Linked DNA regions of Coturnix japonica. The protein of the gene in region 1 purifies or fractionates together with the protein of each later gene. This does not show direct contact. Links are inferred from orthologs where the notes say so. Each region holds a gene or a part of one and is shown on either strand. Other genes may lie near its edges.

What was found.
Region 2: the proteins of DCAF1 (region 1) and COPS3 purify together in Homo sapiens (affinity purification with mass spectrometry; 5 studies listed by BioGRID, with this or other methods). This does not show direct contact. The link is inferred for Coturnix japonica from reciprocal best matches to the Homo sapiens genes DCAF1 and COPS3.
Region 3: the proteins of DCAF1 (region 1) and CUL4A purify together in Homo sapiens (affinity purification with western blotting; 15 studies listed by BioGRID and IntAct, with this or other methods). This does not show direct contact. The link is inferred for Coturnix japonica from reciprocal best matches to the Homo sapiens genes DCAF1 and CUL4A.
Region 4: the proteins of DCAF1 (region 1) and COPS7A purify together in Homo sapiens (affinity purification with mass spectrometry; 4 studies listed by BioGRID and IntAct, with this or other methods). This does not show direct contact. The link is inferred for Coturnix japonica from reciprocal best matches to the Homo sapiens genes DCAF1 and COPS7A.
Region 5: the proteins of DCAF1 (region 1) and CUL4B purify together in Homo sapiens (affinity purification with mass spectrometry; 9 studies listed by BioGRID and IntAct, with this or other methods). This does not show direct contact. The link is inferred for Coturnix japonica from reciprocal best matches to the Homo sapiens genes DCAF1 and CUL4B.
Region 6: the proteins of DCAF1 (region 1) and DYRK2 purify together in Homo sapiens (affinity purification with western blotting; 5 studies listed by BioGRID and IntAct, with this or other methods). This does not show direct contact. The link is inferred for Coturnix japonica from reciprocal best matches to the Homo sapiens genes DCAF1 and DYRK2.

Annotation. Positions count from the first base shown.
Region 1 is NC_029527.1:1,236,650-1,240,149, forward strand, and holds part of DCAF1 (DDB1- and CUL4-associated factor 1), read right to left. Parts: intron 3,272-3,500; coding exon 3,073-3,271; intron 2,693-3,072; coding exon 2,610-2,692; intron 1,448-2,609; coding exon 1,363-1,447; intron 774-1,362; coding exon 540-773; intron 54-539; coding exon 1-53. UniProt on the Homo sapiens protein: Acts both as a substrate recognition component of E3 ubiquitin-protein ligase complexes and as an atypical serine/threonine-protein kinase, playing key roles in various processes such as cell cycle, telomerase regulation and histone modification.
Region 2 is NC_029529.1:4,779,269-4,783,356, forward strand, and holds the start of COPS3 (COP9 signalosome complex subunit 3), read right to left. Parts: upstream 2,801-4,088; 5' UTR 2,724-2,800; coding exon 2,669-2,723; intron 178-2,668; coding exon 48-177; intron 1-47. UniProt on the Homo sapiens protein: Component of the COP9 signalosome complex (CSN), a complex involved in various cellular and developmental processes.
Region 3 is NC_029516.1:123,900,109-123,904,124, reverse strand, and holds the start of CUL4A (cullin-4A), read left to right. Parts: upstream 1-1,216; 5' UTR 1,217-1,271; coding exon 1,272-1,446; intron 1,447-1,788; coding exon 1,789-1,904; intron 1,905-4,016. UniProt on the Homo sapiens protein: Core component of multiple cullin-RING-based E3 ubiquitin-protein ligase complexes which mediate the ubiquitination of target proteins. As a scaffold protein may contribute to catalysis through positioning of the substrate and the ubiquitin-conjugating enzyme.
Region 4 is NC_029516.1:69,466,828-69,470,977, forward strand, and holds the start of COPS7A (COP9 signalosome complex subunit 7a), read left to right. Parts: upstream 1-1,350; 5' UTR 1,351-1,447; coding exon 1,448-1,609; intron 1,610-1,713; coding exon 1,714-1,789; intron 1,790-2,192; coding exon 2,193-2,281; intron 2,282-2,356; coding exon 2,357-2,559; intron 2,560-3,024; coding exon 3,025-3,130; intron 3,131-3,427; coding exon 3,428-3,579; intron 3,580-3,854; coding exon 3,855-3,894; 3' UTR 3,895-3,912; exon of another isoform or gene 3,913-4,150.
Region 5 is NC_029519.1:15,291,950-15,296,120, reverse strand, and holds the start of CUL4B (cullin-4B), read right to left. Parts: upstream 2,801-4,171; 5' UTR 2,735-2,800; coding exon 2,722-2,734; intron 2,002-2,721; coding exon 1,492-2,001; intron 1-1,491. Other genes in the region: MCTS1 (malignant T-cell-amplified sequence 1), read left to right, coding at 4,138-4,148.
Region 6 is NC_029516.1:31,679,920-31,683,973, forward strand, and holds the start of DYRK2 (dual specificity tyrosine-phosphorylation-regulated kinase 2), read left to right. Parts: upstream 1-1,254; 5' UTR 1,255-1,372; coding exon 1,373-1,427; intron 1,428-1,628; coding exon 1,629-1,765; intron 1,766-1,863; exon of another isoform or gene 1,864-2,269; intron 2,270-4,054. UniProt on the Homo sapiens protein: Serine/threonine-protein kinase involved in the regulation of the mitotic cell cycle, cell proliferation, apoptosis, organization of the cytoskeleton and neurite outgrowth. Functions in part via its role in ubiquitin-dependent proteasomal protein degradation.

The DNA.
Region 1 (3,500 bases):
CACTGATCCAGTGCGGGAACTGTGTGCAACAAATGGAAAGTTCGGAGGTCCCACTGAAGAAACACAGGCTAAGGAGCAACAGATGATGGACAGTGTCTGCTTCCTTTTCAGTACAGTGCTGAAGAGATGATTAATTGCTTTCAAGAAGCCTCACTGACACTCTCTCATAAACATAAAAGAACCAGTGTCAGATCCCAACACTACCTTCAAAACCAAAAAACTTTTACTGAGGACATCATTCCCAATTGTCAGATGTTACTGCAGTAGTTTCAAGGTACATCTTGGTAAGGGAATGCAAGAGAGTAAAGGTATCACTAAGTGCATTAGGGAAAAAAAATAATCTCTCTCAAGTATTTCCATTAGTCCCAAATCAGAAATATAGCCCAGATTTAAATTCTCTGAGAGTCCCCATTTACTGGATTCCCAGACAAAAGCTGCTGCTTCTGAACATAGTTTATAACACATCAAATAATTTACAGCTGTGTTTCTCAAACAAAATATTCAGGTTTCAACACATTATCATGATGGCTGAAGGATACAATTTCTGTGTTGACTATGACCTCCAGCCCATTGGGATGGAAAACACCACTGATGGTCATGTTGAATTTATCAAACTTGTGGATGGCTTGTGCTGATCTGACATCCCAGAGGACACCATCATTTAGGACAAGGTCATCAGTGGGGTTAAATGTGGCACAGTTCTTCTTGTAGTTGTTGGCAAGATCTGGGTTAAACAGAGTCAATAGCTTGTTGCCAGTCTGAATATCATAGATCTTTTAGATTAAAAAGAAAGAGAAACATTAGTCACAATTTGTAACATACCTGTACCTTAATACATCCCATGTTTTAGATCACTTCTAGAATCACCCCAACCCCATTTTGCTTTATCATTTCAAGCAAAAGCATTCTTTAGATAACCATTCCTCTGTCAGTCTTAAAAATCTTTAAGAACTGCTAGATGTAAAGGGCTTTAATGAAGAAAAAAGGCTTTATGGCCATTTCAAATCAGTTTAATCTGTAACACTCTGCGGAGCCCAGCTCTCCTTCAAACTCGGCAAAGAAACAATTCTCTAATATGGGCAAACAAACTGTTTAACAGATAAACACAACACACAAACCGATCTGACTTCCAGGTTATTCAGTTAAAAAATGGGCAGGAATTAATAGTTTGCTTAAACACATAATATTTACATACAATATGGTCAAGTTTATACCCTTAAACAGATGAAGTTATTTGCTATTTTCAAAGCTCTTCCTGTAGCTCACACAGGGCCTTGCAGCACCCAGACCTGCTAATAAACATTCTGTGAAGAATTAAACTCTTCTCACAGCTTCACAACCATGACTTTTACTGGTACTTACGTGGGCAATGTCTCCTTTTGTGCCAATGACTCTGTCTTGAGAATGCTTGCTGAACTCCACATATTGGTCATCAGGGAAGGAATGCCTATAGGGAGAGTCAGTAAAGATGTCAAGGACTCAAACTACTAGTGAAAAGACTTTCCTTTGCCATTGACCATAGCACACTACAATACTAAAATGCTCCACTGGCATTTGCAGGGAAGTATTTATTGCAAACACAGTCTTTCCAGCAGATCTATTAAAAAACACAAGCAGCAAGTCAATAGAATCACAGAATGAATCACAGAATGGCTTAAGTTGGAAGGGACCTAAAAGATCATGTAGATCCAATCCACTACACTGGGCAGGCTTGCCAGTCTGTATATCAGGCCGCCCAGGATCCCATCCAACCTGGCCTCATCATATGCATACAGAGATGGGGCATCCACAATCTCTCTAGGCAACCTGTTCCAGCACCTCACCACCTTCCGAGTAAAACTTCTCACCTAAATCCCCCCTCTTTTAGCTTGAAGCCACTACCCTTTATCCTACCACTATCAGATCGTGTAAGAAGTCAGTTCCCCTCCTGCTTTTAAGCTCCCTTCAAGTACTGGAAGGCCACAATGAGGACTCCCTGGAAACATGTAATAACACTACCACCGCAACAGATCCTGCACCACAACCTATTTGCAGGAGTGACCAACAAACTGCAACAGGAACAGTCAGACACATATACATGGGATAGTATCATGAACCTTTTATCTAGAGAATGCTCTTCACACAACAAACTGTTGCTTGCAACTGAGGTAGATGATAAGGAACAAAGAGCTTCTCCTCCACTTTCAATGAGAGCAATTGTAAATATTAAACTCAATTTGACACGGCTTTCTCTGGGATACTGAGGTCCAAAAATTTCACTACACAAAACCAACACGTTATAAAATTCTGTGACTGGTTACAGAAAGGCTGTCAAGATGACAATCTTACCAACATAACAATAAAAACACAAATGTAATTCTCTGCCTTCAGGAACAAGGGTCATCTTGCTAATCTAATTTCATTAGATGACTCTCCAGGTAAGTAGAATACATCTGTACTCAAAAGAACAGGAAGATGCCAAAAATAAAGTCTGTTACTCTTCTCATGTTTTCAGAACAGACTCTGGGTGAGCTGTGCTGTCCTATTCTCTCATGGAGCTTGTTCTTAGGGATTCTGCCTGTACTGAATGTTTCCAACTGTAAACCCAACAGAGATCAGAATACACTTACTTCATATCAAAGACAGACTTCATTCCCCACAATGCAGACAGAGGTTGGCTCCATGTAGCAGATGTCAGCAATAAGGATCCATCCTGTATTTCCAGAGTGGAGTGGAGAGGAAGGAAGGAAAAGAACACCAGGGAAAACAGAGGTTATTGTTTTACTTGTGCACATTCATTTAGATTTAAATTAATCTTGTAAGAACTACAGCAAGTTTTGTGGTCTTCACAACTCTGAAGTCACTTTAAAATCTGTTACTTACAAAGACACAGCCCCTGCATCTTCTCAATATATTGAGAAGAAAATAAATTACAGAACTCAGAGAGGCAGTGGGTAACCACTACCAGTACCTTGATCACAGGCACTGCAGGCCAGCCAGCAGGTGCACTTGAGATTTATAGATGTGCCCCAGATACAGCAGGCTGTAGTCTACAAGAACTTCAGAACTCAGCACAGGTCTCCAGTTACTCACCCTCGATGGCTCAAGGTGTGTGATTGCAGAGTTATGGCAGTTGTAACTCGCCTCTTCCTGTCCACTGAATACATTGTACAGTTTCAACTGCCCTGTGCAAGTACCCAGCATTAAGAATCGTTCACGCGCAGAAAAAGCACAACAGGTAAAGCCACTCTCATCCTCATTTGCTTCCCGGAACACAGAAATTGGACGGAACCTAAAGAAGGTGGAAAAAGGGTTACCAGAAAGAGAGCAGAAAAGCAAAACGGAACTACTGCATGAAGTAATGGCACTAAAACCAGTCCTCACTAATGGTGTAGGCTGAAGTTACAGTTCTCTTCTAAGACCAACTAGATGTTAATTATAAGACTATTGGTCAAGTAAGAATGTGACAACAGTGTCTGCAACAATCCTGGGTGTGTTTTGTGGGTAACCAAGTACTTCTG
Region 2 (4,088 bases), on another chromosome or scaffold:
TGAAGTTTTGATGCTGTAATGGTTAATTAACAGAAAGCCATGCTTACAAGACAGCAAGAACTCCTAATGAGTGTTCCTGCACATCCAGGGCTCCAAGCACTGTATCCAGATGGGAGAGGTTTTTTGCTAGCAGTTCTCCGCTCTTATTGATCAGCTCACAAAGCTGGGTCATTTGCCCTGAAATAAAAAGCATCCTTGTCAGAGTCCAGTTAAAAAACACACATGCATTCCCATGCTTCATTACACCGAATCCCAATAAAATAAAACAAATGAGGATAACATAGAATCACCCACACAACTGATTGCTCTGCAGTATGTTAGGCACCAGTTCTCAAAAAATAAGGTGGCAGAGAAGCTTCTGACAGCAAAGGAAACCCGCAGAACATGAGCAGCAGCATCAATCTGCCTCATTATAGAGGACTTCAGGATCTCATAGCGACACTAAGCTCAGTTGAGCCAAGTCTCCAAGACTCTGACAAGTTTACTGCGATGCCAAACTCTCTCCAATATGAATAGAAATTACCTACGCTTGCTCTTTCTAGTTGTTAAAAGGAAAAACGTATCTACCAATAACAGTGCCCTCCTCTTTTCAAAACAATCATAGAAACACCTCAATAGCAAGGCTTGCTCCTTAACATTCCTCAAGTGCCTTATTCACTTTCCTGGTCTGTTCATTATTAATTACAAAAACCCTGCAACTAAACACCTCCAATAACAGGATTTTTTTAAGTCTGTCCTTAACTTCATATAATTATTCCTACAGTATTGTTCTATTCATCGTGAACCATAAACACATTATGAAATGTGACTATTTGGAATTAGGAAGGTATGGTAAGCCCTTAGAAATAAAGCAGGGACTTCCCTCTTCATTATAGCAAACTGCTGTCAAAATCCTTTTTCTTCTTTTTCTCCTTCAAAACTACTAGAATTAAAACAGCATCTTTCTGAAGCAGAGAACTGTTTCAGTGTAAAACCTTGTCGATTAGAGGGATAAAAGCAGAGCTCCTTTCACCCTTATAGAAGTCTTCATGAACTAAAGAATGGTGCTCCCATTCTTAGAGATTAACACCATTCTCAAATTTCTTGGCCTTTCCCTTTGAAAACAAAACAAAGATGGAACCTGGGGAGCCTTACAAATGCAATGTTAATGTTGAAGTAAAACAGGGATCAAAAGGTCCATATGTGAGACCACAGACCAGGAACCCCAGACACCCATCCTCATAACATCTCTGTCCATCCAGATTTAAAAGTCCCAAGATAAGGATGGAAAGAAACAGGGCCTATAAAATCGTATTTGGCAATGGTATTCAAGCACTGCAAAAAGTCAGTTCTGCTGCTCTCCCCTGCACACAAATCCTCCTGTTCTATGGCCACCATCTAGCATCCACCCCCCATGAAAACAAACAGGAACCAAAGGAAAGAAAAAACAACAAACCCCAAACATGCTAAACATTAACAGCATGCAAGTAGGAGACCCACACAAGGCCTCGCTACATGGCCATTTATATCAACCCCTGTGCAGTTCAGCACTGACAGCCAGGGACAACAGTACACGTGCTTCCACCACTGCAGCCTGCACTCACTCCTCATAGACAGCACCTATCTGGCTAGGCCCCAATGGGAAAGCTTCCATGAAGGCAGCCAGTCTTCCCCTAGTACAGTGTTCACCTTCAGAATTACATAAGAACTCCCCAGTTAAACTAAATCATACATATCCTGTAGTCTGCTAATTACCTGCATCCTGCATAGGTACATAGATGTCTCCAGCATCTGCTATCCTCAGCAAATTAAACCAAAGCATGACAGTCTGCACCCCACCCAAAAGTAACTGCCAGAGATAAAGCCTGAGGGCTGCAGAGGAAAGCATGAATTTCTGATAGCTTACAAACATCCACAGAACTGTAGGGGTTGGAAGGGACCTGGGGATCCCTCAGTTCAGCTCCTCCTAAGGCAGGTTCCCTACAGCAGGTTGCATAGGAAGCCATTCATCCAGGTGGGGTCTGATATCTCTAGAGACTCCACCAGCTCTCTGAGCAGCCTGTCCCAGTGCTCTGCCACCACTGCAGTGAAGGAGTTCTTAGGGAGCTGCCCCACAGAAAGTTCGTCGAGTACAAAACGCTGTGATTACACGTGGGGTAATGAGAAGTTTGGCAACAAAACTGAGACGGCTTACATAGAAACATTCAAACGCTTTCTGAGTGTTGTGTAACGACAGCTCCGAGGCAGCCCCAGGCCTTTACCCTATTCAGCCGAGATATGTCAGAGATCCCAGCAGCACTGATAGACACTCAGAGCCCCACAGCGGGAAGGCAGAGCTCTCACTCCCAGCAGCCAGTACTTCTGCGATGCATTAATACCCCCAGCTCAGTCTCTACACCACCCCCGTGAAACCATCCCCATTTCCCAGCCCCAAAGCTCCATCCCAGCCGCTCCCCGTGGGCCTGCAGCCCTGCAGGAACACCCCGACAGCGCATTTAGGCCTCACCGGAGCCACGAGCAGCGCTCCGGACACACCCGGACATACCGAGCTCCGCACCACAGGGCCCAACTCCCACCCCACATCAATCACGACACATCCAGGCCGCAGCCCGCTCCCCACAGCCGCACTGGGTCCCAAGAGCCGCCGCCCCCAGCCGAGCCCCGCCCGCGGTTGGCAGCCCGCGGTCACCTTGTGCCGAGAGCTGCCGGACGCTGTTAACGAACTGCTCCAGCGCCGACGCCATCTTGGCGGCTGGCGGCGCGGCCGCGCGCGCTCCGTGAGGGGCGGGAAGGGCGGGAAGGGGCGGCGGGAAAGAGGCTGCGCCACGGGAGCTGCCAACCCCAGCCAATCAGCGGGCTCTGCGGGAGGCGCGCGACGTGCGTCACTTCCGCTGTCTCGCGAGAGCAGACGCCTCTCCCCCCCTCCCGCTGCGGTTGTTGGGGTAACAGCGGCCCGGCCGGAAGTACCGCCCCGCGCGCACTGCGGATGGAGGCGGCCATCTTGGCGGCCATCTTAGCGCCGGAAGTCGTGACTCAGCAGTGCCCACGGGTGACGCGGTGATGGCGTCACTGCCCCTCCCGTGTCATTGCCGGGCCCTGTGCCGCCGTCATGTCCGGTGCGTGCTCGGTGCCGTCCCGGTGTGCCCGTGGTGGGGCTGGACGTGCTGCAGGGCCGCAAAGTGCCGGATCAGCGCGGCCTCTCAGCGTCTCGAGGCCGTTCTGTGAGGGGACGTTCGTTGAACAGCCGATGTGGGGCCTCACAGAGCGGCTGTGGTCGGAATGGCCCTTCAAGGTCCCTTCAGAGCACGGCCGGCCCTATCACTGCCATCATGGTGGCTCAGCTCAGTGTCTGTTATTTGATAGTATATACATAACGCTCCTTAATATCAGGGGACAGAATTCATCCCCCTGGTGCTGTGTAGCAGTGATGTTAATTCAGTTTGTATAAGCACAAATGTCTTTTTCATCCCTAGAGGAGCCCAAGTGTGCTGTGCTGAGCTGCTGGGGCTGCCAGGCGTCCTGTGGTGTGTGAGCAAGAGCAAGACTTTGTGCTTAGCCCTGGAAGACAAAGGCATCATCTCACGGCTTAGGAAAGTACCGAAATCCCATTCGTTGCGACGAGTTAAATGTATTTCTTACCTGCTTGAAACTTCACATTTTCAGTTTCACATTTCCTGTTACATACACCGCTGTGATGGGGAATTCTGTTCCTCTGCTCACTCGGTGCCCTTCACCACAACCCATCTGCCCTCTATGTGCAACAAGGACAACACACCCCGCTAGGAAACATTCCCTATTTGGAGGACAAAATATCTTGGATCTGCTGAGTTGAATCATTGCTTTTCATGTCCCAACTCAGCAGTTGTCTAATCCTGTTAGTCACACTCTTGACGCCTCCCTGCTCTTCGGTGCTTTAAATCCCCCAAGTGCTTTTTGGCCGTAGTGATCTGTGGTCCTGTGTCAGAATACGCAGCCCTTGGTGCTGTTTCTATGTCAGCCCTTCACTCTGACACCTCGAGTCCCTCCTTTGCACAGTCAGTGTCCGGGTATCTATTAAACCTTCACATCACACACAGCTGTCACATCCAGTGAGACTCTGGACAAAGTCT
Region 3 (4,016 bases), on another chromosome or scaffold:
CCGTAGTCACCGGAGCCGTTTGGGGGCGTGGTCTATTTCGAGGCAGCCAATGGAAAAGAGCGGTGGGCGGGGCCAGAGCGCGCGTTAGGTATAAAAGCACGTGCATCGGTGTGTGTGGTACGTCAGTGGGCGGAGCGGCGGGAGGAGGGAGCAGAGGGACTAGCGTGCTGGTCGTACCGGGGTCCGGTGTCAGCTTGTGCTTACCACAGAATGACCCGGGTTGGAAGGGACCTCAAGGATCATGTAGTTCCAACCCCCCTGCCTGGCAGGGCCACCAAACATACACATTTACTAGATCAGGTTGCCCAGGGCCCCGTCCAACCTGGTCTTGAACACCTCCAAGGACGGGGCATCCACAACCTCCCTGGGCAGCCTGTTCCAGGGCCTAACCACTCTCCTAGTGAAGAACTTCCCCCTAACATCCAACCTAAATCTTCCCTCTTTCAACTTAAAACCATTTCCCCGTGTCCCGCTATTGTCAGCCCTTTCGAAGAGTTTACTCCCCTCCTGGGAGTAAGTTCCCTTCAGGTATTGAAAGGCTGTAATGAGGTCACCCCGCAACCTTCTCTTCTCCAGGCTGAACAAACCCAACTCCCTCAGCCTGTCCTCATAGGGGAGGTGCTCCAGCCCCTGATCATTTTTGTGGCCCTCCTCTGGACCCTTTCCAAAATCTCCATGTCTTTTTTGTACTGAGGGCTCCACACCTGGACACAGTACTCCAGATGGGGCCTCACAAGAGCCGAGTAGAGAGGGACGATCACCTCCCTATCCCTGCTGACCACCCCTCTCTTGATGGAGCCCAGGATCCCATTTGCTTTCCGGGCTGCCAGAGCGCACTGCTGGCTCATGTTGAGTTTTTCATCCATCAGGACCCCCAGGTCTTTCTCTGCCGAGCAAGACCTTATGGGAGCGGACCGTTGTGCTCCGGGGGCCGCAGTGCCTGCCTTGTGAAGAAGGGACGGCAGCTCCTTGGCAATCTGTTCCAAAAAGCTGAATAAAGTTCCCCACGGGTTGTCTGTAAGAGGCTCGCACCGAGAGTCCGCCGTAGCCGTCCGTCCCGGGAGCCATCTTGCGAGCGGGGACGCTCGGTGTGAAGCTGGCGGGAAGGGCTGGGCTGCCGCCCCGAGGTGGGGGAGGAAGGGAGGGAGGGAAGAAGGGCGGGCGGAGGAGGAGGAGGAGGAGGAGGAGGAGGAGGAGAGCGGAGGCGGGGACCGGGCGGTCCAGCCCAGCGCAGCGCCTTGCCCCGGCCGGACACGGCGCCCGGGGCGGAGATGGCGGACGAAGCCCAGAAGAAGCCGCACTTGTCGGCCCTGGTGGGGCACACCAACGGGCTCACCAAGCCCGCCTCGCTGGCCGCAGCCGCCACGCGTGGGGGAGGCGGCGGGGGCGGTTCGGCCGGTGCTGCCGCCGCCTCCTCCAAGAAACTCGTCATCAAGAACTTCAGAGGTGGGTGCGGGGCCGAGCGGCGGCAGGTGCCGGGCCCGGCCTCTCCGCACCTTTGTTTACCGCGGGGGCCGCTCCGCCTTACAGGGACGCGGAGAACCTGCCGCCGCTCCCTAACCGCATCCCGGGGTCTCGCGTGGGGCCGCGGGGTTGGGGTGGCCCCGCATTAGGATGGAGGAGGAGGAGGCCACGGGCCTGGACGCGCTCGGGCGCTGCCGTCTCGCGTGGGGTCGCGACCTGCCCCGTGGCCGTGCCCCGTGAGCGCCCCTGGGCTGAGCGGAGGAAGATGGCTGCGGGGAGCCCGAGCCTCGGGCCGCCTTCAGCCGCCTCCGTGTTCCCCCGCAGAAAGGCCCAAGCTGCCCGATAACTACACGCAGGACACCTGGCACAAACTTCACGAGGCGGTGGCAGCCATTCAGAGCAGCACTTCTATTAAGTACAACCTCGAGGAGCTCTACCAGGTAAGACCCGTACGGTGATGTTTTCTTTCGGTGTAATGTGGAAAATGGAGACTCGCAGGGCTTCAGATCAAGCAGAGATGTATTTTTGACTCGTTAAAGGCCAGTTATTATCTCCAGAACGCTCTGTGTTTCCAGACAGTTCACAGTGTTGTGCCTCAGCTTCTCGCTGCTCCTAGGAGAGTTCTCAAGGTCTGGGCCCATGAAGAAGCAATTTGTGTTGGAAGGTATTGAGAGCTGCACTTGGGCATCCAGCCACCCCAACACTCTGCCTGCTCCAGATCCTGAAATTAGGGTCTTGCTCTGTCTGGGCTTTGCAGTGTCTGTGTTTTACAATGGCTTTTTTGGTTCATGCTTTGGTGTTTGAGAGTAGCCAGCGTTAAAAGTATTTGTTACGATGCTGAGACTTCAGTGTCAGTGCTCTTTGGAGAATGAAGGCAAGAATCGCACTGCTCGTGTTGTTATAAAACATCACTGATGCTGTAAGTTGTGCCACGCGGCTGAAGTTAACAAGCAGGGTGAGTCTCAGAGCTGAAGTGACTTCTCTGTGTCATTAGATGGAGTGTAATGTGTGGCATCAGAACGGCTCGTTGTGTGAAGGCATATTGACCTAATATAACATACTGCCTTCAAGCTGGACTGATATATATGTGTCTGGTAATACTTATAGGTTTGCAGAATCTGATTTACATAATACATTTGATGGTTTTAAATAGAGCGTTTGAGAAATCCTGCATTTTCATGCCCAGCTAGAAAAACACAGATGCTTTGAATGTTACCTAACTTGTTTTCAGAGGCTCAGAAAAGAGATTATAGTAATATGGGTATGAAATTGCCGGGGCACGGACTTGAGCTTTGGCAGTAGAGGAGGAGGGAGATCTCAGATAAGCTGTAAAGAGAGAACTGTGCTTTTTGCTTATTCTGTTTGTAAAAATGTGCGTGTTGTAAGGACAGCCCAGCAGTCAGGAAGTCATTGGTGCAAATCAGCAAGATTCCTGTACGGTGGGTGGTGGCTGTGAACATGCCCATACATACATACATACATATTCCTTCTGCCAAAGGAATAAGAGGAAGTTCAGCATCTTTTGGAAAGCTGACCTGTATGTACAGGTCGCTGTAACTCTCGGTTGGTGAGCACAGAGCCATCCATGGGGAAAATATCAGTGTGTGTACTGCTTCTCTATGGCAGTGCTCCTTTATGTGCATCTCTATCTGGCACCATGACAGGAGAAGAGAGGCTGCTGGGGCTCAGTGCAGCAGGCAGTGGTACCCCAGCCTGCCTTGGAACTTCTTGATTGATGTATTTAATTTGGCACGGTGGCAGAGTTAAAAACAAGGCCTGGTGGGAAGCCCAAAGCATAGTCTTTCCCAAGCGGCAGTGGCCGCATGGGTTAAAGCACAAAGGTGCTTGGCAGAGGCAGTGAGCAATAGGAGGGTGGCAGCCAATTTTTGCTACTAAAATAGAAGTGATGTCTGGGATTGGTGGTAGATTGCCTGGATCTGGGTGGAAGTGGCTGATATTTGATGGGCTACAGAAAGTGGGGCAGTGCAAAGAACTGCCGAGTGAGGAGCGAGTGATAAAAATAATGGGAAAAGAGAATTCCCTTTGCAACAAGATCCTAAATAGCTTGAAATAGGGCAGCAGCTGCCCTTCTTGAGGGCACGGAATAGAACATTGTTGCAGTAAAGGGGGAAGAAAGTAAATGCTTTGAATCTGGACCAGACTTTTGTGTGGGTGGGTAGGAAAGGCTGTGTCTTAGAAAGCATAACCAAATATCTGACCAACAGTTGTGTGATCACTGTTTGTTTCAGAGGTCACCTCACGTAACCTGTTCTAAGACTGAAGTTAAAAACCAGCATAAACAACAAAGTAATCATGTAATGCCTGCTTGTTTCCATCTTGTGTGTTTTGGAAGATAAGCTCTTCAGGATATTAGAACTGATAGAGGAAACAGTACAAGCAGCAATAACTAGCTTACTAAACAGAGGACTCGGCTCAAAACAAGCCATTAAAGTGGTTATTTGAAACTTATACATGGCTTGTGTAGGTGAAGAGCCTACAGTGCTGTCTTTCTCATGTCATAATAGAAGAGATAATTATTATTACAGCTTTTT
Region 4 (4,150 bases), on another chromosome or scaffold:
CAGACACGAGCCACCATGTGATGTGAAAGGTCCTTTCTCTGCTGGAGAATCATGACTGGAGGCTGTCTGTCCTGATCTGCAAATTCCCGAGGGCTGTGAGAGTACATGGGAATAAGAGTTACTGCGCAGGCACCGTCCTCTTAAACTCCTTTGTGAGCAATAGGTGTGAGGCTGCCCTAGATGTAACTAGGCACAGGTCTTACCACCCTGTGTGTTAACCTAGTACAAGTTACGTGGTTAAAAACTTTCCCCATCACGTTGTCTGGCAAAGAGATTTGCCCCATCCTCCCTCGTCCTTACAAGCTTTTTGCCCAGGACTCTGTGGCATAGAGTTGTGAAAAATCATCACAGATCTGGACTATGTTTGGGGAAGGGCTAGAGATCAAAATATTGGCAGCGTTTTGACAAGCCAGTTTGATTTTGCATCTAAGGATGAACAAAGACTTTGCTAAGTTATGGGCAAGACACCGTGCGCTCACACGAGTGGTTGCATATTCAGAGATGATGATGGCCTTCTCATTAAGGGAGCTCGGGTAGTGATTCATTCCTTGCCCTTATTTTAGCTCCGTGCAGGACAAAAGAGAAGAAACACTGTGGTGACCCAGCAAAGAGCACACAAGACCCGGGGTCGGTGCAGAGGGAGGCTGCTGCAGCTGGGATGCTCGGGCTGCTTCGCTTTATCGAACTAATAATGAAAGGCAGCAAGCGTGTCAGAGAGTGTGAGAGAAACAGATCGATAGGGAGATAAAACTGAGATGGAAGGAGCTGGTGAGGGGGTGGGGGAGAGAGCAAGACATGCTACAGAGCAGCAGGGCTACACTTAGACCTGGTCAGAACACAACCTGCCCCGCTGTAGGTGGGTGCGTCAGGTGTCAGGGCGTGGTGAAGCACACGGACAGGGAGGTGAAGGCAGGAAGGTGGTGGTTGTACCTTGCACTGATGCTGCCCTGCTTCACCTTGTCAGCCCTTCTCCTCCTTCATTCCGCCGTAAGGAGCACCGCAGGCCTCGCTATCTATCACAGCCCTTCCCCACAGCCCCAGCCACAGCGATACTGTGAGCGGCGAGTGACCTCCAGCCGAGCGGCGGGGCCGCCACCATTATAACTCAGCCTTCCACCTCGGCCCTCCCAGCGCCGCTCCCCTCACGCCGGCAGCCTCAGCGTACAGACCGAGCTCCAGCCCGGCCCCGAGCTCCGAGGAGCCCAGCGGGGCCGGGACGGGACGGCAACCCCGGGCCAGGACCGTGAGCTGCCCGCTGCACCGCGCAGTCCTCCTCCGACAGGGGGCGCCCCAAACTCTGCCCGCCCGGCGTCACACCCGGAAGCGGGCGGGCTGCGACGGCGCCGCCATAGAGGAGAGGGCTCGGGGCGGGCTGGAGGTGGCGCCCGGTGGCGGGGCCGGGGCCTGCGGGACGCCAGCGCGGCGGGGCCGAGTGCCCGGCAGCGGGATGGCGGCCGAGGGGAAGGTGACGGGGCAGAGCCAGGAGCAGTTCCTGCTGCTGGCCAAGGCCGCCCGCGGCGCCGCGCTCGCCAGCCTCATCCATCAGGTGCTGGAGGCCCCGGGTATCTACGTCTTCGGGGAGCTGCTGGATATGCCGGCCGTACGCGAGGTGAGCCCTGCCCTGTGCCCTGCCCTGTGCCGTGTGCCCTGCCCTGCCCTGCCCGCGGCTGGGCCTGGGCCGCGGTGTGGCCTGACTCGCCTTCTGTCCCGCAGCTGGCCGACTCCGAGTTCTCTCCTGTCTTCCACCTGCTCACCATCTTCGCCTACGGCACCTACGCCGACTACCTGGGTGAGGTCGGGCTTGGGGAATCGTGCCCTAAGCCGCAGAGCTGGGAGCGAGGTTGGGTTTGGGCGTGAGGCCGAGGAGGCCATGGAGGGGTCCAAAAACATCTGGGCAATGGTGTTTGCGAGGGGTGGGGGGAGGACTGGGGGATTCATTGGGATGTAGAGGTCTCCATAAATAAGGTGTGGGACAGCTTGGGGAGGTGGCTTCAAACGGAGGAGAGGCTGCTCAGTGAAGGTCCTTTGAGCTGTGGATTAATGGTGACGGCCTGCTAAGACAAAGCATCACTTTGGGAGCCGTTGTGATGCAGTTCTGAGAAATGGGACTGGGGCAAATGCTTCCGTTGCGGGACTGGGAAATAGAACATGAGGTATAAATTCTAATGCCCCGTCCTTCCCTTTGGCAACAGCTGAAGCAGCAAACCTCCCTCCCCTGACAGAGGCTCAGAAGAACAAACTGAGGCACCTGTCGGTCGTCACTCTGGCTGCAAAGATCAAGGTAATGCCCCTATTTTACCTCTAGTTTTCCTTCTTCTGAGTTTACCTTGTGTTAGTTACCATCATGTCTCTGCAGTGCATCCCCTATTCGGTGCTGCTGGAGCAGTTACAGCTGAAGAACGTCCGGCAGCTAGAGGACCTCGTGATCGAGGCGGTGTATGCAGATGTGCTGCGAGGGAGCTTGGATCAGCGGAACCAACGCCTGGAGGTGGATTACAGCATTGGGAGGGACATCCGGAGGGAGGAGCTAAGCACCATCACCCGCACATTGCAGGAGTGGTGAGGAGGAAGCCGCCCATACTAACACCTTCAAAGGTTGCAGGAGTGGTCAGGGGCTTCACCAGATCATCCTTTGTGTGTTGCTGGGGGGCAGCGTAGCAAAGTGACCTCTGTCTCCTTTCCCAAATGGCAGTGGAAAATAGTTTCCACTATCCAACGTTCTTCCACATTGGAGGGGTGAGGAAAGGAGCAGCAGTTTTTGCATCCAGCTCCAGCTGCTGGCAAGAGTCTTTCTGAGTATACATCTGTAGCTCTTAACCTAGTGCCGCTTTGTTATGTGTCTCCCTCCTAGGTAATAATGTCACTACATTATTGCTTTGGACTGCCACCCCTGTGCCTACCCTGCCTAGAGTAGCTGTTACCTTCCAGGTTTTATTGGTCTTTACAGTTCAACCAGTCATCTTCATGTTTCTTTCCCTGCAGTACCAATTACCTGTCCTGTTCAGCTTAACATTTTCTCTACAGGTGCCAGGGCTGCGAGGTTGTCTTGTCTGGCATTGAAGAACAGGTTAGCCGAGCCAACCAACACAAAGAACAACAGCTGGCACTTAAGCAGCAGATAGAGAGTGAGGTGAGTGGGCTGAAGAGGGAGAGGAGGAGGCATTACCCCTTGCTTAAAGAAAGAGTGGAACCAATACCCTGTTGTTACTATAGCCCTTGTTCGAGGGCTATAGTATAGTATATATACTATATAGGGCTAAGGCATTACCCTAGGCTGAAACCCTCCGGGGTAGTTATGCTTGAGGAAGAATTGGGAGTCACTTAAGCACTTCTCAGCAGTGCAAAGCTCTGGACAAAATAAAAGGGAGGAGGAAAAAAAGATAATAACTTGAGAAATTCCTTGGTTCTTGTTTTACTGCTGTTGCAGGTGGCGAATCTGAAGAAGACAATTAAAGTGACAACAGCAGCTGCTGCAGCAGCCACCTCTCAAGACCCAGAACAGCACCTCACAGAGCTCAGGGAACCTGCCCCTGGCACCAACCAGCGCCAGACCAGCAAGAAGACTTCCAAAGCCAAAGGGTGAGGAATGGTGGCAAACAAACGTAGCCACTGCCTAATGTGTGTTGAGGGGAGTTCTGTTTTGTAGCACTGAGGTCACTGCAGGGGTCTACACCCCAGGCCTGGAATGGTCCAAGCTGACCTCCACCTCTGGCTAATTCAGGGGGTGCAGCTCTTGATCTGAAGCACAGTTCATAAGCCTTCCCTGAATGCCAGCTGTTCTCTGTGTACGCTTAGAAAAGGAAGTCAGAGATGAAGTTTAGTGTCCAGTCTAAAACTTCTTCCTCTCTCCGCAGGCTCCGGGGCAGTGCGAAGATTTGGTCTAAATCAAACTAGTTGGATCTCCCTTCACAGGTGGGAGGGTGAGAGGAAGAGACTTGGGACTCTTGCTACCCCTCCATCTACTAAGTGTGATGCTTCTGAGCTCATCTCTGAGATCTGTCTTGCCAACTAATTCTCCTGCATGTACTCTTTTCTGTCTTCTTCACTTCCTTTCTGGGCAGTGCTTCCCACCTTTTAATCATGACATTTCACACTCTAAGCTTCCAGTTGAATGCATTGCTGTTTTCCCCTACCCCTCAAGGTTCCATCA
Region 5 (4,171 bases), on another chromosome or scaffold:
AAGGACGTGTATTGCTATCGCAGACAAAAGCACACTACGATTATTAGTCATCTTGGCATATGAGCATAAATAAAAACCAGAGATGCAGATTCTCAAGACATTCTTTTTAAGGAAGTGATTCCAAGAGCAATTTATAAGCAATGATGATTGCAGCTCCATGTCATCCCTGGCATGTAGTTAATATTTTCAATGTGAAAAGTTGCCTTCTCTTAAAAATAACAAAGTACATGCAGTGGCAGCATTTATTTCTTGCCATCATGCACCCTAAGTACAAGGTTTTAAGGCAACCAAATTAACAGATGGTGACATGGCAGCACGGGAAACAGACTGGGAACATTCTTGAGAATTAAGTAGTCCTTAAAGCAAAAAGTCACACTGGAACATTACAGTGGCTCAGGTAATCCTTAATCCTCACCTTCTGTGCTATCTCTACAGCACATTTGTATCAACCGCCTCTTTAGAAATACGTTTTAATCTCTGTCAGACCTTTAAGCCCTCTCTTCTCCCACCCAAACATAAGAAGAAAAACAAAACCACTCAGGAAAGTAAGTTCTTGAATTACTTTGAAAGGGAAGAATGGACTAACAAGAAAATCTCACAATTCTCAGACGTTTTTTAGGATAAAAACTACAGAATTTTAGCTAGGATCGCTGCCTTCACCTAGTTCAATTTTGTTCATTAGAATATCATGCTGAATTCACATCAGAAAGCTTCATTTCCCTGCTTCAGTTGATCTCAAGTAACAACATTGGAAAAGCTCCACCATGTTGGTTGAGAAACTACAAAACAATGTAAATTTGAAAAGAAAAAAAAAAAAGGAAGAGCATATTAAAGTAGAAAAGATGCTAAAAAATTAAGCAATAAGCACAGCAGTGATGATACTGCAAGAAAAATAACCTGCAAAAGTCTGAACTACCTACTCTGAAGTCAAGTAGGAGAAGCAGAAAGGAAATCCGCCTTAAGAGCTGGATAATCACCTTAGTTTCAACATTTAAAACTAAGCACAAGCGGATTAACCTACAAACAGACAAAATACACGTGGGCAAGACATGGAGATTCAAGTCTTTTTTTTTTTTAAGGATACTTTGCAAAGACTTACCATAAACAAGGCTAAAATATACTGTATACCCTGAGTCTGGGTTACTGGAAAAGTGCTTTCAAACCTCAGAAGTTTGATCAAAGGTGATTTACACACTTAGGCAGTAAAATGTTTCCTTCAAGATACTAGAAAGGGCCTTCTCCTCAACAGAGTGAATGCAGTCAGAACAATAAGCCCAAGCAGGGAAGTCTGGCTCAGATGTGCACGTGATCGGGCAAGGACGCATCATCAACATAACCCCCCTTTACATAAGTCTAAGAATGTTTACCACAAAAAAGCATTTCCTGTAAAACCTGGAGCTATTTGAAAGCCAACCAGGTTTTCATGTTGAAAACAAAACACAGAGTTGAGCGGCAGCTCCGCAGAGATTGTGAGGAATTATGGTCTGTTACCTTTAAAGTTCTTGATCACTAATTTCTTAGCGGAGCCAGGTTTACTGTTGGCGAAACTGGACACAGTAGAGGAGGCAGCTTTGGTCAGGCCGTTGGCATGGTGCCCTACGGCCACTGAAGAAATTAAAAGGCTTTTATTTTTGAGCTGCTGTTGGTGCTGCTGTTGAGAAGAGGCAGCGGGAGAGGAGGAGGAAGAAGACTCTTCAGCCATCTTCACATCGAGTCCGATAAAATCCAAGGAGTCCTCAAAGCGCAGCTTCTTCTGGAGGTGATGGTTGGAGGAGGCGACCCCCGAGGAGGAGCACGAAGAGGCGGTGATGACTAAAGAAGACGAGGAGGAGTTGTTTTTGGAAGGAGATGACGAGCAGGAGGAAATGGAATCGAATTCCTCTCTTTCAGAGTTGCTATTATTTAACTTTCTCTTCTTGCAGGAGGAGCTGCTGCCGCTACTACCATCAGTGGCGGGCCTGACCTCCTGAGCTGCAGTGGAGGGGTTGGGGGAAGAGAAACCTGTGGGAAACATGAACACACAGAAATGAGCAGGCTGACGGGCATCAAATCCTGGCAGCGCGACAAAGAGGACAGAGCTCTTCCGTCAGCCTCCGGTGGCGTCTCTCAGCGGAGTCTTTTAACTCCTCTCTCCTTATCGACACAGTCCCTCGGTATTCCCCCTCCTTCTCCTTCTTATCCCTCGGAGGAAACACCGGATCTCCTTCTCTTTGTGACTCCGTTTCTCTTCGCGGCTCTCCTCCGTCTCCCGCCCTCAAAGCAGCGCTTCCTCCCCCACCTCCGTCCACCCTCGGGCTCTTCTCAGCGCCGTTCTCCGGCCCCAGCGGTTCCCCGCCGCCCCGCCACCTCTGCTCGGCCGAGCGGGGCCAACAGCGCCCCGGCCTCAGCGCCCTCAGCGCGGCCCCCGCCGCCCGCTCCTCCGCAGGGCTCCCGCCCGCCCCTCTCCGCTGCCGGGGCGCTGCCGGGGCGGCCGGGCCCGGTGCTTGTTATTGTCACTCCAGGCGGGGAAGGGAGCCTAAAGATGGCGGCGCATCCGCTCGCTGTGCATGCCGGGGCGCGGCCGCCCGACGGGCCCCGCTTCGGCCCCGCGGTCCCAGCGGCGCGGCCCTGCCCGCCGGGTTCCGCCCTTCCTCCCTCCCGCCCGCTCGTCCCGCCGCTCCCTCGCGCTGCCCCGCAGCCAACGCCTCAACACGGCCGCCGGCTGCCTGCCCTCTGACCTACCGGAAGTGATCATGGTTGCCGGCCGCTATAACGGCCGCCCGCCGGAACCCTCGCGCGCCGGCGCAGGGCGGGGCCTATGAGGGGCGTGGCCTATAGGGGGCGTGGCCTATGGCGGCGCCGTTGTGGCTGAGGCCGGCGTTGTGCGCATGCGCGGTGCGGGCGCAGTGCCGTGCGTGGTTCGTGAGGGGTTTGTTCGGTGTTTGAGTCCTGAACCGGCTGTATCACAGCGCTTAAATAGACTGTGCCACGCGTGGAAGCTTGGCTGAACGTTGTGTGGATGCTATGTATCGCGGTTGATTTGATATAGAAAAGGTGCTCGGATGGTGGCCTGATCTTTCATGCCGGTGACTCTGAAGCCTTTGGGAGCAGAGCGCGGTGTCAGCACGTTCCATCACAGCATCACACCGCCCTATGGATGAGCACGGCCCTTCCTCGGCTGTACTGCGAGACAGCCGCATCCTGCTTTGCCATCCATGCACATGCACAGAGACACAGCGCGTTCCATTCACAGAATCACAGAATGTCCCGGGTTGGAAGGGACCTCAAGGATCATGTAGTTCCAACCCCCCTGCCTGGCAGGGCCACCAAACATACACCTTTACTAGATCAGGTTGCCCAGGGCCCCGTCCAACCTGGTCTTGAACACCTCCAAGGACGGGGCATCCACAACCTCCCTGGGCAGCCTGTTCCAGGGCCGAACCACTCTCCTAGTGAAGAATTTCCCCCTAACATCCAACCTAAATCTTCCCTCTTTTAACTTAAAACCATTTCCCCTAGTCCTGCTATTATCAGCCCTTTCGAAGAGTTTACTCCCCTCCTGGGAGTAAGTTCCCTTCAGGTACTGAAAGGCTGCAATGAGGTCACCTCGCAACCTTCTCTTCTCCAGGCTGAACAAACCCAACTCCCTCAGCCTGTCCTCATAGGGGAGGTGCTCCAGCCCCCTGATCATCTTCGTGGCCCTCCTCTGGACCCTTTCCAAAATCTCCATGTATTTCTTGTACTGAGGGCTACACACCTGGACACAGTACTCCAGATGGGGCCTCACAAGAGCCGAGTAGAGAGCGACGATCACCTCCCTATCCCTGCTGACCACCCCTCTCCTGATGGAGCCCAGGATCCCATTTGCTTTCCGTGCTGCCAGTGCGCACTGCTGGCTCACGTTAAGTTTCTCATCTATCAGGACCCCCAGGTCGTTCTCAGCCGATCTGCTCTCAATGACCACTCCTCCCAGCCTCAGCAGTTCCGTTGTCATACAGCGGCGCGACATGCCGTAAAGCGCGCGGCGTTTCCGGCTGGCGCTGGAGGGGGAGGGCCGGGACCTCGTGTGAGGGAGCGCGGAGTCCCGGCAGCCCGCCCCGCGCCCGCCGGTCCACGCCCGGCACAGGATCTCGCTGTCCCGGCTCCCACCGTCCCAGGATGTTCAAAAAGTGAGTGGGGTTGGTTGGGCTGA
Region 6 (4,054 bases), on another chromosome or scaffold:
TGGATGTGTTTGTGGAAACAATGGGAAAACACCAAGAGACACCAGAAAACAGCATTTATAGCCCTGGTAGTGAAGGGATGGGAAATGTGCGGTGTCTGGGTACATCTGGGGGTTATAGAGGGGCACAAAGCTGCAGGGAAGGGAAAAGGTTGGGTGGGTGCAGGCTGGAAAAGGTAGGATTGTTTTCTCTCTGCAACAGGAGGGACTGAGGAAAGTGTTTATTTCTTTGTACCAGCACAGGAAATGTCTTTGTTTACACATTTATCTGTGGCACTGGAAAAGGCCAAGTCTTCCTCTCCAGCTGCAGGGATGGAGTTCTTTTTTTCTCAGGAAAGGGAAGATTTATTTGTCTGCCTTTCTCTGCGGCAGGGAATGAAGGGAGGTCTGCCTGTGGCAGGGGATGAAGGGAGCTCTGCTTGCAACCCCACTGGCTGCTTCAGAAGGGAAAATACACGCGATCCGTACACATTTCCAAGCGGGTTGAGCGTAGGCAGGAGAGTTCATTTCGACGCCGTCCCGGGCTGAGCAAATGTTCAGCTATCTATTTTTGGCTCTCGTGACGTTCAAGCTGACAAACCAGGAATTCAAAGCATTGTACTCGGCGAGGCACACGGCAGAGCAGGGCCCATAACTGCCCCCACCGCGCTCCCTCCCTCTGCATGGAGGCACGGGCCGCTCCGGCCCGACTCTCGAAGCTCTCCCAAGGCACCGCCATGTTGAAGTTTCCATCCCCTCGCACCGACCCTCCCACAGCCAGCGGTGCCACCGTCGTCCTCCCGCGGTGGCGGTGACCCCCTGAGGGCAGGCCCCAACATGGCTGTGACCTGGGGGTGACCAACGGCTCATCCCTTCCCCCTTCACCCCCGCTGGAGGCCGTTGGGCGGTTGCCGGGCGGCAGCGGGGAGCGGAGCGAGGCGAAGTGCGGGCGGGCGCGGGGAGCGCACGGGGACGCGGGGAGGAGCGGAGCGAGGGGAGGCGGCCGGCGGGGCGGGCACTGCCCTTCGGTGCGCTGTTTGTTCTCGTTCCGCCGCCCGAGGAGGAGGGCCCTGTCCGGCCGCCTTCTGCTGCCCCCCTCCCTCCTCCGAGCGAGGGGACCGGGGCGACCGGGGCGGGGGCGGGGGAGGTGATGAGCTTGGGCCGGGGGCTGCGGCGGCGGCGCGGCTGCTGCTGCTGCGGCTGCGGCGGGAGGAGACGGCGGGCCGAAGGAGGCTGTGTCCGGCCGGCCCGGGGCCGGGGGGATGCGGCGGAGGACGCGTCGGGCGCTGGGTGTAGCTGATCGGCGAGGAGAGGCAGCCGCCGCCCAGAGAGGCCGAGGAGAAGCGGAGGAGAGCCGCCCTGACATGCATTTTCCTCTCCCTCCTCTCCAGCGGCCATGTTAACCAAGAAACCCTCAGCGAGCGCCGCCGCCGGCGCTGCCTACCCGGCCGGTAAGGAGCGGGCCGGGCGCCGCGGGGTCGGAACAATGCTGCGGACCAGGGGGGAGAACCGGGGGGAAGGGGGGGGTTCCGGCCGTCGGTGCGAGCGCGGGGCCGCGGCGGCCATCGGCTTCCGATGGCTTCTGCCCGAAGCGGGACGGGGCGGCTCGGGGCCGCCGCTGCCCTCCGCGCTCACCCCTCTGCTCTCCGCAGGCAGGGCAGGGGACAGCGGCCGTCCGCTGCAGTCTTCCCCGGGTGCAGGAGCCGGGGTCTCCCGGGCAGGAGCTGGGACCGGCCCACCGTCGCCCCTCGCATTGCCGCCGCTCAGGGCCAGCAACGCCTCCCACACGGTGAGCACGGGCATGGGAGGGGGTCGGGAGGGTGGTGGTGGTGGTGATGGTGGTGGTGGTGGTGATGGTGGTGGGGGGGTCCACGGAGCGCCGCCGCCTGTCCCGCCCCGCGGGGCGCTCGGGGCCGGTTCTGCAAACTCGGAGCGGAGGAGAGTGTGGGTTCCAGGGCTGGCAGGCTGGAACCGAGCTGCAGAGCGGCTCCCCCTTCCTGCAGCCCCCCTTCGCTCCGCTTTACGTGTCGTTGTCGGTAACAAATTAGATCTTGTGCACAGACAGCGAGGAGCTGTTCTGGTAAACGGGTAAACGCCTTTTTGGGGATGACATTTTGGCAGTGAGGTTAGTCGCTGTGATTAAAGGGTCGCGTGAGCCATGGCGAGGAATGAAGGCTGCTCTCCTATGTCTCTGATTAGCTCAGGCCGATAGCCGTCTTCCCTTGGAAACAGCTGTCGTTGTACTCCAGGGCGACGATTGGATGGATCTGACTTTATTGCTGCGGTGGTTTACCTAAAGAAATAAGCACCGATGCTATGAAAAGGATGTTATTTTCCGGTTCTGTGATATCTCACATTATCTCCCTCTCCCAGTTAATCTACCAGGAATGGAACTTCCCAAGTATGCCACTATATATGGATGAGAGAGGGTATCTCTGTCCTGAAGGCATGACGGGGTAGAGGGAGATGGGGCTGTGTGCCGTCGTGTTAACGCAAAATATCTGACATATTTCTTGCATACATTTCCTTTTAAATGATGAAAAAACTCGTACTGACCCTGAAAGGCATTGATGGCATACTTGGCTTAGAATTAATGAGTTCTCCACGGATGCTCACGTACTATCTTCATAAACATATGGCAGAGCTTTAAACAGTAATGTGATTATGGGCTAGTGGAAGGTGAAACTATGCATTTAGACATTAGCGTTTCGGTGACTTTCTGTATAGCTTCAGGGGTAAAAGCGTCTTATTCAAATCCAGTTATAGAAAGAATTGGCTTAAATGTAATAAATAAATAAATAAGTGCAAGTTTATGTAGGGTGTTTTCAAGAGGAATGATGAATATTCTGCAAATGTGAGGTGGAGCTGCATACTTGAGGTCAACATCGCTGTGTCTCTATGTAGCCAGGATGTATATCTGAATCGTTGGGTACTGCCAAAGGTAGGTTTTTGCACGTTTGCATTCCAGTTAAGTGCTGGTTGATTTGAGAAGTGAGAAAGTGGTCTACGTATTTCTTTTAAGCCAGAAAATAATCATTGTACCGATGGCCTGGGCATGGGTTGTGAAAATACACATCCAGAGATGGGCCCCACTAATAGCAGGGGCTGATGTGTAACAGAGCCCAGACTTAATTTAGAATCTGTGAAAGCCCAGTGGTCCAGTCGTCTGTCTGGGATTGCTGACTAATTTTGGTAGCATGGAACTGTGGTATTTTTATAGATACGCTTGTGTGTGTACGATATATCTATCTACATACACTATATATATATGTGTATAAAGATGAAGTCTTTATGAAAGCTTGCAAGGAGTATTTGAGTATTGCATTTCTGCTTCCAGTATATTTGTAGATGTATCGTCATGCATGTACACATGTTATCTATAGCATATATATGCCGATAGATAGATACGTACATATAGACAGAAAGCCTATGGAAGCATTGAAGGATGATCAAGCATTATACTGCTGTGTTTCAAGTCTCTCTGGGTTCTGACTGCTGCAGACTCTGCTGTGCCTTTGTGACACAGATACTACTCCTCGGTCTTTATTTTACCTTGAGTGCTATTACAGAAATACCTCCGACAGGCTCTGAATTTTTTAGGGCATTATTTTGTGGTTGCCTAACAGAACTTTTTGTGGTAAGGATCAGATGTGACATCAGGATGCTGGATTTTAACCTAAAACAATGGTTATGTGTGGTATGGGAGCGTTCTATAAACTTCAGGCCTGCTGACCTCAGCTGACACTGACTGAAACTATTGGTTTCATCCACTACTTCCTCAAATGAAATGTATTTAAAAATAAACGTTTCAGTTTTCTTAAACCATTTTCTTCCTCTGTATTCATTTGCTTAATCAACCCTGTTGTGCCTGTGTGACTTCTCCAGCAGCTAAAAAATGAAATGAATATTTCTCTTTGGTGTTGCAGACTTTCAGAAGGCGTAGCTTACATAGGCAGCGTATACACATGTGCATTGTGTATACACTGATTGTGAAGGGACACCATGGTGGAAATATTAAGCCAAAAAGTTCTTCTTCTAGTCCAGCTGGAGAAATGCACTACTTGTCATATTTCTTGCA